Danio rerio: one gene and its partner. The protein of the gene in region 2 interacts with the protein of the main gene of each other region in a pairwise test. Links are inferred from orthologs where the notes say so. Each region holds a gene or a part of one and is shown on either strand. Other genes may lie near its edges.

Evidence for each region.
Region 1: the proteins of lemd3 (region 2) and smad9 interact in binary tests that used the Homo sapiens proteins (3 or more experiments, as listed by UniProt). The link is inferred for Danio rerio from reciprocal best matches to the Homo sapiens genes LEMD3 and SMAD9.

What each region holds. Positions count from the first base shown.
Region 1 is NC_133185.1:39,992,869-39,998,415, forward strand, and holds the start of smad9 (mothers against decapentaplegic homolog 9), read right to left. Parts: upstream 3,564-5,547; 5' UTR 3,226-3,563; intron 1-3,225. UniProt on the Homo sapiens protein: Transcriptional modulator activated by BMP (bone morphogenetic proteins) type 1 receptor kinase. SMAD9 is a receptor-regulated SMAD (R-SMAD).
Region 2 is NC_133179.1:13,501,739-13,507,172, reverse strand, and holds the start of lemd3 (inner nuclear membrane protein Man1), read left to right. Parts: upstream 1-1,734; 5' UTR 1,735-1,741; coding exon 1,742-3,035; intron 3,036-5,434.

The sequences.
Region 1 (5,547 bases), on a different chromosome or scaffold from region 2:
ATAAAACAAAAAAGACTTTCTCTAGAAGAAACAAATATTATCAGACATATGTAAACATTTCCTTGCTCTGTTCAACATCATTTGGGAAATATTTAAAAAAGGAAAAAAAAAATCTAAGAATTAAAGAGGGGCTATTAATTCTGACGTATATAGGGCGTGGCAGTGGCGCAGTAGGTAGTGCTGTGCCTCACACCAAGAAGGTCGCTGGTTTGAGCCTCGGCTCAGTTGGCGTTTCTGTGTGGAGTTTGCATGTTCTCCCTGCCTTCGCGTGGGTTTCCTCCGGGTGCTCCGGTTTCCCCCACAGTCCAAAGACATGCGGTAGAGGTGAATTGGGTAGGCTAAAATGTCCATAGTGTATGAGTGTGTGTGTGAATGTGTGTGTGGATGTTTCCCAGAGATGGGTTGCGGCTGGAAGGGCATCCGCTGCGTAAAAACTTGTTGGATAAGTTGGCTGTTCATTCCGTTGTGGCGACCCTGGATTAATAAAGGGACTAAGCCGACAAGAAAATGAATGAATATATATATATATATATATTCATTCATTTTCTTGTGTGTGTGTATATATATATATATATATATATATATATATATATATATATATATATATACATATATATATATATATATATATTTATATACATATATATATATATATATATATATATATACATATATATATATATATATATATATATATATATATATACATATATACATATATACATATATACATATATACATATATATATATATATATATATATATATATATACATATATATAAATATATATACATATACATACATACATACATACATACATACATACATACATACATATATATATATACATACATATATACATATATGTATATATATATATATATAATTAAAAATGTTAATTTTAAAAATATAAATTGGTGATTATATTTTTCAAATATTAATAAGAACATAAATTTATACAAACTGAAATAGAAATAAATAGAAGAATCTTAAGTCTTTTAATTGAAATAATTGTTGTTATTATTATATCATTTTAGAGATTAATAAATATCATGATAAATAATTTTAAATATAAAATTAACTAAATTATTATTTTTAAATAAAATATTTTAAGTAAATGCAGTTTGCATTTGAGTAAATGTATTTTTTTAAATATAATTAAAATAATATTTTATTTATTTTAACAGAATTTCAAATAACAATTATGTCTTTAGTAAATCATAAATTTATATATTTAACATAAACAAAAAATAATGTTTTACTATCATGAAAAAATGACAAAGAACTTTTTAAAAACTGAGCAAAATAAATGTATTATATTTATACATTATATGCATAACAAACATAATAATATATTATAATATAATAAAGGTAAAATTATATTTTATTAGGTAAATATGGTGTACATTTTTGAAAGATTCACTCTTTAGAGTAGGGGTGCCAAAACTTTTTCTTATGAGGGGCCAAAAACCAAACTTGACCAAGGGCTGTGGGCCGAAAGTAAATATACCAAACTGTTACATTAAATATTGCATGAGTGCTATTCTAATGTATTACTAGTATTTGAAAATAACCACAAAATATTGCTTTAAATTATATGAACTAATGCAGTATGTAGTAAACAATCCCATACCACAACGGAGTTCAATGTTGAATACATAAGCTGCACCTGCTTTTGCTTTGATTTGCTCGCCGATGTCTTGTGTATTGCCCTCTATCAGTTAAGCATCAGTATTTACATTTTTAAAGATCAGGTTCATATGCAAAACAAAACTAACAAAAGGTTACATTATATTCGAAATGACAATTTCTGTCAACCCCAACCACCTCCCCATCATTCTCCCTCACGTCTCAAATGGGACAAATCAAAGGTAATGGTATGGGCCAACTTTGACCTGCGGGCCCTAGATTGCACATCTCTGATATAGAGCACAACTAAACAAAAACAGCATTTATTTCCTCAGTGCAGACCTCTGAATAACTGCTGAGTTATTGTTGTCATCAACAGGTCTAAACAGTGTTTCTCATCATTGCCCATCTCACCTCTCCCTTTCCTGAACAAGCTTTTCTGATGCCGAAAACGATCTGCCAAAAATCAATGTCGTTTGAGCACTTGAAACCAGAGATGCTCGAGTCCATCTTTAACCCGAGCAGGCAAATAATACCTTCTGAAAACATTACTGCATGTGATACCAGAGGTGTTTACGCCCCTATAGCCGAATCAAATAATCATATGTGACCCTGGACCACAAAACCAGTCTGATGTTGCACGAGTATACTTGTAGGTGGGAATAGTAAAAACTTTACATTTTTATTTTATGCCAAAAATCAAATGACTATCAAGTACAGATCATGTTCCATGAAGACATTTTGTAAATATCCTACTGTAAATATATCACAACTTGTTTTTTGTTTAGGAATGTGCACAGCTGATTGATTTACATCCAATTTTGTGAACATTTATGAAGTTTAAACCCTCAGATTCAACATTTCCAAATTGCTGTTTCTCTGCTAAATATTGTTCTCTTAACAACCCATACATTAATGAAAATGTATTTATGCAGTTTTCATGTTATGTATAAATCTTAATTTCCAAAAACTGACCATTGACTGTTTTTGTGTTCCTTGCGGTCACCTGTATACGACTCATATCAGTGTATAAAAACACACTTGAGTTTTAACCACGGCTCAGGCAGATCATTGTAGGGTGAACAGCCCACATCTGCTGTTCTCAAAGGCAGTGTGTCCTTATGAAACTGGCGTCTGGAAGTCTGAGTGCTGAGATAGGCTTAATCACCTAAACTCCCCCGCAAACGCGCTTACACATCCTTTCCATCCACTGACCGGTGTTTTTTTTTTTTTCCTTTAAGAAAGGTTCAAATGTAATAGTTGGCAACACTAATCCAGGTGTACACAACTGTCACGAGTCTTTAGAGTGGATGAGCATCATTAAACAGAGAGGCATAATAAACAAACAAACAAAACAAAACATACAATTTACGTTTACGCTGCCTCCCGGTGCAATGACTTAAAATAAGTTAAGTAACGTCCGTTGTACTTCAAATAAGTAACGTTAAGTAACTTTATAAAATATCTTATAAATTATATCTAAACGAGTTTAAAGTAGGCTACATGTGTTTTGTCATCTTATCAAACTCTGGCATTTAAGTTTTAAGTACAAAACAACATTAATAGTGGTACATAAAACGCGTTTTATCCCTTACCTCAGCGTGCCGGGTCGAATAATAGCTCCGCGCCGCCGAGCGCTGGGTCCCGCGCCGACTGGAGGTGTTCAGCGGGCGCGTGTGTTTGGATGCAGCGGCGTCAGTCTGACTGGAGCCTCAGCGCCTGCGTGCTGGATTCATCCGCTGCTCCTGGATCTCTCCCAGGACGGCAGACAGACACACACACAAACACTGGGATCATCCCATTCAAAAGAGTAGCTCCTCTCAGAGAAACACAGGTCACACACTGTGGGCAGCGGTGTTTCACTTTTAATTTGATTTAAGGCGCGGACAGATGTTGTCCCTGTCACAGGAAGTGATGCGCCTTTTGGAAAAAGCTGCAAAGTGAAAGTGGTTAGATTTTCACGACATTGTTAGATTATACGTTCAAATGAAATATTCTTTGAAATTGAACACAATAGTGTTTGTTATTATTATTTTGTCTAAACTTACTTATGTGGTTGAAAACGCTCCAGCAGCGAAATGTTGGTAAGGTAACACAACTACATTTTGTGGCTGGATACTGGGGAGCGTATGGGGTGGGTGGAATACGTCCCAATCACTCAGCCAGTCCATTTAGAAACAGGTGATTAATAAATATGAACGTAAACTTTTAGATCTCATTCAGCTGTCCCCCACTTTTAAAATGTCCTCTAAACCTAGGTTTGAACTATTGAAATAATAAACAGAAAAACAACGAGACTAATTATTTGATTACATTTTAAAAGTAATAGTTCACCATAAAAAGTAAAAACTATTCACTATTTACTGTTTTTCTAAACTTTTGGCATTTTTTGGTCATACGCAAAAAAAAGATACTTTGAAGAATGTTGAAAACCTGTAACCATTGATTCCCATAGTAGGAAAAACAAATATGCTATGGAAATCAATGACTACAACATTCTGTGAAATATTTATTTTTCTTTTCAACAGAAGAAACTCAATCTAGTTTGGAACAAGTTGATGAATAAAGTGATCTTTTTTATTTTTTAGAGTGAACAATTCCTTTAAGACATCAACAAACTAACAAAACTGCACGCATGTTGTTAATTTTAATTAATTTAACGCTTAATATGGTACAAGAAAAAGTCGTTTTATTGTTATAACTTTACTTTTTTTACAGAACGTTATCTGGTTCCATTGTGATATTTTAGCACATATATAGCGCTTATTTAGTTTTATACACACACACACACACACACACACACACACACACACACACACACACACACACACACACACACACACACACACACACACACACACACACACACATATATATATATATATATATATATATATATATATATATATATATATATATATATATATATATATATATATATTAACACTCCCACATTTTTCAAATAGTTTCTTCTGTGGAACACGAAAGATATTTTGAAGAAAACAGCCATCGACGTCCGAAATGATCTTTTTTGGGGGCGACCTAACTTACCCCTTTAAAATACAAACGCAAAACTACTACGATCAATTTTTCAAATGACTTTGTCATGTTTGTTATTTATTAGACAAAAGGTCATAAATAGTGTGACGTTTAGTCAGTGAATCATCGGAGGAGGATGCTGAAGCGGAACAACATTAATCACGTGAGCGGCTTCCCACTAAAATTTTAGTAGTAAACTTCTGAGTTGTTTGTGAGCTTTTTGAAAACCTAAAGTGAAAATACTGTCTGACAGAATGAGAAGCTGTCTGAGCACTATATATTCTCGTATTCCTATATATTGTCAAAATTAGTATTTGTTTTGGATTCCATTGAGAGGCTCAAGCCTTATTAACTTATTAATAGGGAGCATCGACCTGTTTCAACATGGAACTGTGAAGCCTAATATTAAAATAGTTACATTCAATTAATCTCATAAATAGTTTAAAACAGCTATTTAGTGAAAATATATCTGTTGTATGCTTGCAGACTTTCGTGTAAATCATAAATTCGCATTGTTAACGCAAAACAGACGGGTTGCCAGATTGGCGGAGCGCCAAGCTGTTTATCGATAGCCCTATTTTTCCTCGCCCTCCTCTGCGCGGATGGATACACTTCGATTGTGTGCGTACAGTGACTTGTCCAGTTAATGACGCAAGCCAGGATGGCGACAGAGAGTCTAGAAGTTTGACATTTTCACAGTTTACAACAACTGCAGGGGAACGTAACAATACTCCCAATAATGACAGCTCGCATATTTAGAGCTCTCTTTGATCAAATAAGTCTGGCAGGGGGGAATCTGCCTTCAATAAAAGCACACCGCAAAACGATCCTGTTCAATCAAGGTGCACACAGGATTATGTACATTACTGACGAGGCTT
Region 2 (5,434 bases):
GGCACTGATGCAGAATGTATATATATATATATATATATATATATATATATATATATATATATATATATATATATATATATATATATATATATATATATATATATATATATATATATATATATATATATATGCCTGGGAGTTCAAATGGTTCGAAAGACCCATTTACCCACAGACAAAGGTGCAGAATATAACCCAATATGAACCAATACAATGCCATCATCAATAGTGAAAATAATCCATCATATAATTGAAGGAACATTTTTACATTTAGGGGCGACGTGGTGGCGCAGTAAGTAGTGCTGTCACTATTTGATGGCATTTGATACTAATTGTTTGTTTTGTAAGCAACACCCTGAGTCCCTAGTTCACTAAATTTGGCAATACAGTTATTATAATTTGCTTTGGAAAGATTTTTCTCTTTTTGTAATTGAGAATGTTGATAAAGACTTTTCCTTACTATGGAAAAATGTTTGGTTTGGTTTTGTTAACTATAAAACAGAAGCTATACATAAAAAGAACATATATTTTCTTAATCTTCTTATCTTATTAACAAAATGTTATATACATAAATGTAAATTTTCAAACCAAAAACATTGTTTTATATTTTGCTTACTGAACTGTTTCTAACTCTTTTACAAAAAAGGCTTTAAAAACAACTGAAATTTGTAAATTATACAAATTTACAAATTTCTTTTTCTTTAATGTGTAATGTATTTATCCCTTCTGTTTGTTTTTGTTTTACTTTTGTTTTTTGTTGTGTTTTTGAGTTGGCATTTCTGTATTTTAGTTAGCATGTTCTCCCAGTGTGGTTTTCTCCGGGCATTGGGCGGATCTAGGGGTGGTATTGTTGATGGACTGACAGATTGATTGACAGACAGACAGACAGACAGACAGACAGACAGACAGACAGACAGACAGACAGACAGACAGACAGACAGACAGATAGATAGATAGATAGATAGATAGATAGATAGATAGATAGATAGATAGATAGATAGATAGATAGATAGATAGATAGATAGATAGATAGATAGATAGATAGATAGATAGATAGATAATTTCTAGTCTTTATATGTATGTTTTTGTTTCTGCTTTATTTGACACCATGCACGTTTGAATAGGGAGATAAACTATATATCCTTCTTTTTAAAATAATATATAACATCATTTTAATGCTGTAAATATTCAGTGAACCTTGACAGACTTGATTGTACTTGTTTATATATTTACATTTTTTATTGTTAGAAATAACAACAGATAGTATTTTTGCTGTTGCTTTTCTTTCATTATTATTATTATTTATAATTATATTTATTAATAATATAATATTATATTATAATTCCCAGTTATTGTTGTTGTTAATAATTAGGAACAATAACAGAAACAGCCATTAAAGGAAAATAATAATAATAATCGTCATATGTATTATTACTATTATTATAATAATTAGGCCTATTATTATTATTTATACAAAACCAATTAAAACATTTGACCATTTATCAAATTATAACTCCTTTGTGGAAACAGACGTGTGTGGGGTGAAACTTTTTTTTATTGTGTTGTTATTTTTTGTGACTTGTTTTCCTCCATATTTCTTGATTGTGTTTTGTTGTGTTGTTTAATGTTGGTCATTTAATCACAAAAAAGGGTTTCCTGTTTCTTTCCTTTCAAGTTGGCCGTCTGTCCGCTTACTTTTACGTCACTTCCGCCGTGTCTCGCTGTGTGCGTTTTTCGTGCAAAGATGGCGTCTGCACAGTTAACGGATGAGGAGCTTGTGTCTGAATTGAAACGGCTCGGCTTCACCCCGGGCCCGGTGACGGAGAGCACGCGGCCCGTGTACTTGAAAAAACTGAAAAAGCTGCGGGAAGAGCAGCCACAACTGCGGGGCTCCCGGAGCGGGAAAGGGCGCAGCAGCAGCGGAACTATCAACAACAACGGCAGCGGCGCTAGCAGCAACAGCAGCTCGGCGGCGCGAGCTCCGGGATTCAGCGCCAGGCCACCGACCAGTGACGTCACGCGCCTGAGCGCCAGCCGGAGCGAAAAGCGCAAAGCCGGAAAGTTCGTGCTGGGCTTTAGCTCGGACGAGTCGGACGTAGAGGCTCCGCAGAAAAAAGGAGGCCCGAATCACGGCGGCAGCAGGAGAGACCGGGGATCCGCACAGCAGACACCCACCATCAGGCCTGCGGGAACACCCGCTGCCGCCGTCTCCCTCGGGCTATCCGCGGACAGGAAAAGCGTTTCTGGCTCTCCGTGGTGGGCAGACCGGGGGAAATCGGGTGATTTAGCGGAAACGGAAAGAGACAGTCGGGCTGTGAATGGGAATAAGGCTTTTTACGAGTCGAACAGTAGTAAGTTAGCCAGGGATTACTCTGATTCCGACGAGGAGGAGGAAGAGGTGGGTGAACGAGACCGTCCGCGCGAACGCCGTCTGACTTCCAGACACAGTCCACCCGCCTCTTCTTCCCCTTACCGGAGCGCCTGGAGCTCGGATAAGACGGCGCTGGGCGCGCATGATACACCAGACTACAACCTAGATATGGTCGGGGAACGGAGGGACGAGGATGACAAGGAACCTAGCGAGTTTAGCGGAAGCTACGTGAGCCGCAGCTACCCGAAACTGTCCGGAACGGGCAGGGATGACAACAGCGGTGGGAGCAGCATCCCGTCTGGTTCTTTCCATAGGAATCACCTCGACAATGGAGACGGCGAATCCGCCTGCAGCAGCCGGTTCAGCATCGGTCTCAGACCACGCTTTCCTTCCTACACCGCGACTTACCGAGCGAACCACTCGAACCACACCGGTTCCAATCACTCCTATAGCCATGCTTCAGCTCACAAGTCCAAGCAGCACACCACGGTCCCGGAGGACGAGCTCCTGCAGCAGTTTAAGCGGGAGGAGGTGTCCTCCACCGGCGGCTTCAGTGCCCACTACTTGTCCATGTTCCTCCTGACAGCCGCCTGCCTGTTCTTCGTGCTGCTGGGCCTCATGTACCTGAGGATGAGGGGCTCCGGCACCGCCGTGGGTGATGCAGTCAGTAAGTATGATGTTGGCATGTACATCAAAACTTGTCAACAAGAAATATTTAGAGCGGTAAAGTCAGGTAAAAAAATTTACATAATGACACATTTAGTTTCAAAGTCATGGGGCTGTCTCTAAACTTAAACTTGGCAGGGTAAATTAATGATGTGCTGTGCTATTGGATGGTATACACATAAATAATAGGAATTATATCATGAATTATCTCATAGTTTAATCAAGGAATAAGTATATTATTCTATTCCACACACAACTATACAATTCTATTGTAGTAACATGCGTGGATGCTTCATACAAAAAAAAAAAAAAAAACAAGAATGAAAAATGGGAATACAGTGGTGCAATTAATGTAGTAATCTGTAATACCATTCTGTTTTGACATTATTATGATATAAGCTGTAATGTACTGAATTCTTTATTGTACTTAAAAGAATACTATGGTAGTATTATTCTGTGATGATAAAAAATAGTTTGAGCCCTCAAATGTGACCATAATTTAAATGGAGAATACCTCACGCACGGATATGTTTTCATCAAGTGTAGATCACTAATGTTGTTTCTTTTTTATATTAGGAGCAACAAGACATTTCATGACTTCCTTTAGATTTCTGTGTGCACTTGTTTAGTATCTGCTAAATATGGTAAAAGGCATATTGTCGTGTAAACCGATGTATTTTGTGAAATGGTGCTAAAAGCTTTAGTTACTAAAAGTTTTTCAGCTCTGACTCAAGTTTGCCCAATCCACACAGCCATCACCCATCACCCCAGACTATTTGCACCTTCTCAGACAGGAAATGGTCTATGTTACCGGTGTTTTATGGGACAGGGAGAGGTATTTGCATTTGAAGTATGTGTGTGCACAGCAGTGCTAAATGTTATGTCAGACCTGGGATTTCAGATAGCTAATCAAATCTGTGATAAATCAGTCAAATAATTTATCTTTCAAAATAATATATATTTTTTTGTGATAAAACAGAGCCTTCTCTATAAATTTCTATTAATCTATCCTCTGGTTTGGTTCGAGATTGTGCTAAATGAATGTGTTTTTATTATGATCTGAATATTTAATTGGATAAATATAACATCTTCTTAAATTCTTATTTTAAAAATCAATCAATTATTAATTGGACTGACGTTTTTCCAAAAAAAAAAAAAAAATGAATTTAAAAGTAAAATATTTGAATGGGTGTTTGAAAGGTCATAAATGAATTCCTGAAAAGTCTGAGGACCCTCTGGATGTCTGTTATTTGAGTATAATCATGGCCAGTCCCCACGTTTGGACATGTTGGCATCCTTTCTGGTCATAATATGATAGCCAGCATTAATCTTTTGATACATTTTCCCAGATGAGAGAAACTGTTCTTGGATGTGCGTTCAGTGGCACTCAGTTTTAATAGCTTGAGTACCATCAGAGTAAAGTGCTCTGGAGGCAGTGACGGCTCTTGAGAGGAAGCCGACTGATGAATTACTATGTATATCTGTGGCATGGCTGCTCGCTCAGGGAGGGAGCTTTGACTGGAGATCGCGCTGCAGACATCTAGGTCACAGACAAGCTAAAGCGGCCTAATTGTCTGTCTCTGGGGACTCTGGGAGCTCGCGGCCAACTAGAGTGACTGACTTCTCTCTGGCCGGATGAATGTCTGATTCTCACTTTGAGAGCGATTATATATGAGTTTGCACTTTCCATGGGTTGTAGTTTGCAGCTTTATTGTGCACAACACATGTGCAGCATTCATTTTTTTGCAACCATGATGTCAATAATGTAATGCAAATAACTTGATCTTCCAGTATGTCCAGTTTGAGTCACTGTCAGCTATTTTTAACATCCTGATTATTTTATTTAGCGGATGTAAGGTATTTTAACACACCGAGAAAAATATATATGTTTTGCAATTATAACTTAATTTCGCATATTGGCTGCTGTAATGTGACAATACTGCTTAAATTAAAACATTTATCATTGTGTGTTGTTTAGATATGCCACTTTTTACAATATGGTAGTATTCTCAACTTTAATCTGATTCTGAATATTGGGGGTTCAAATATGATGTTTTATTTTATTAAAAGCAAATAGAAATTAAAAAATTCCTCCTGGAGAGATGAGACTTTTTATCAACGTTTACATTTTCAACAAGTGGCAGTAGGAGTGGGATGCATTGAAAAATAATACATTGTATGAAATACCATCTGAAATCTTAAACAGAATTTTAAGACTAGATTTGATCAAGTGATTATTTACCAGATGTCATATTTGACACACAAGAATAATAATTTTTAATCAAAGGTAAAGAGCCTACCTAATGTTTGTACTGCACAATTCCTTCTACAGTAAAACACATTTTACTGCACTGTCCTGCTTTTAATGCTTCCAGAAGACTTTTTATTATTTTTTTTAAA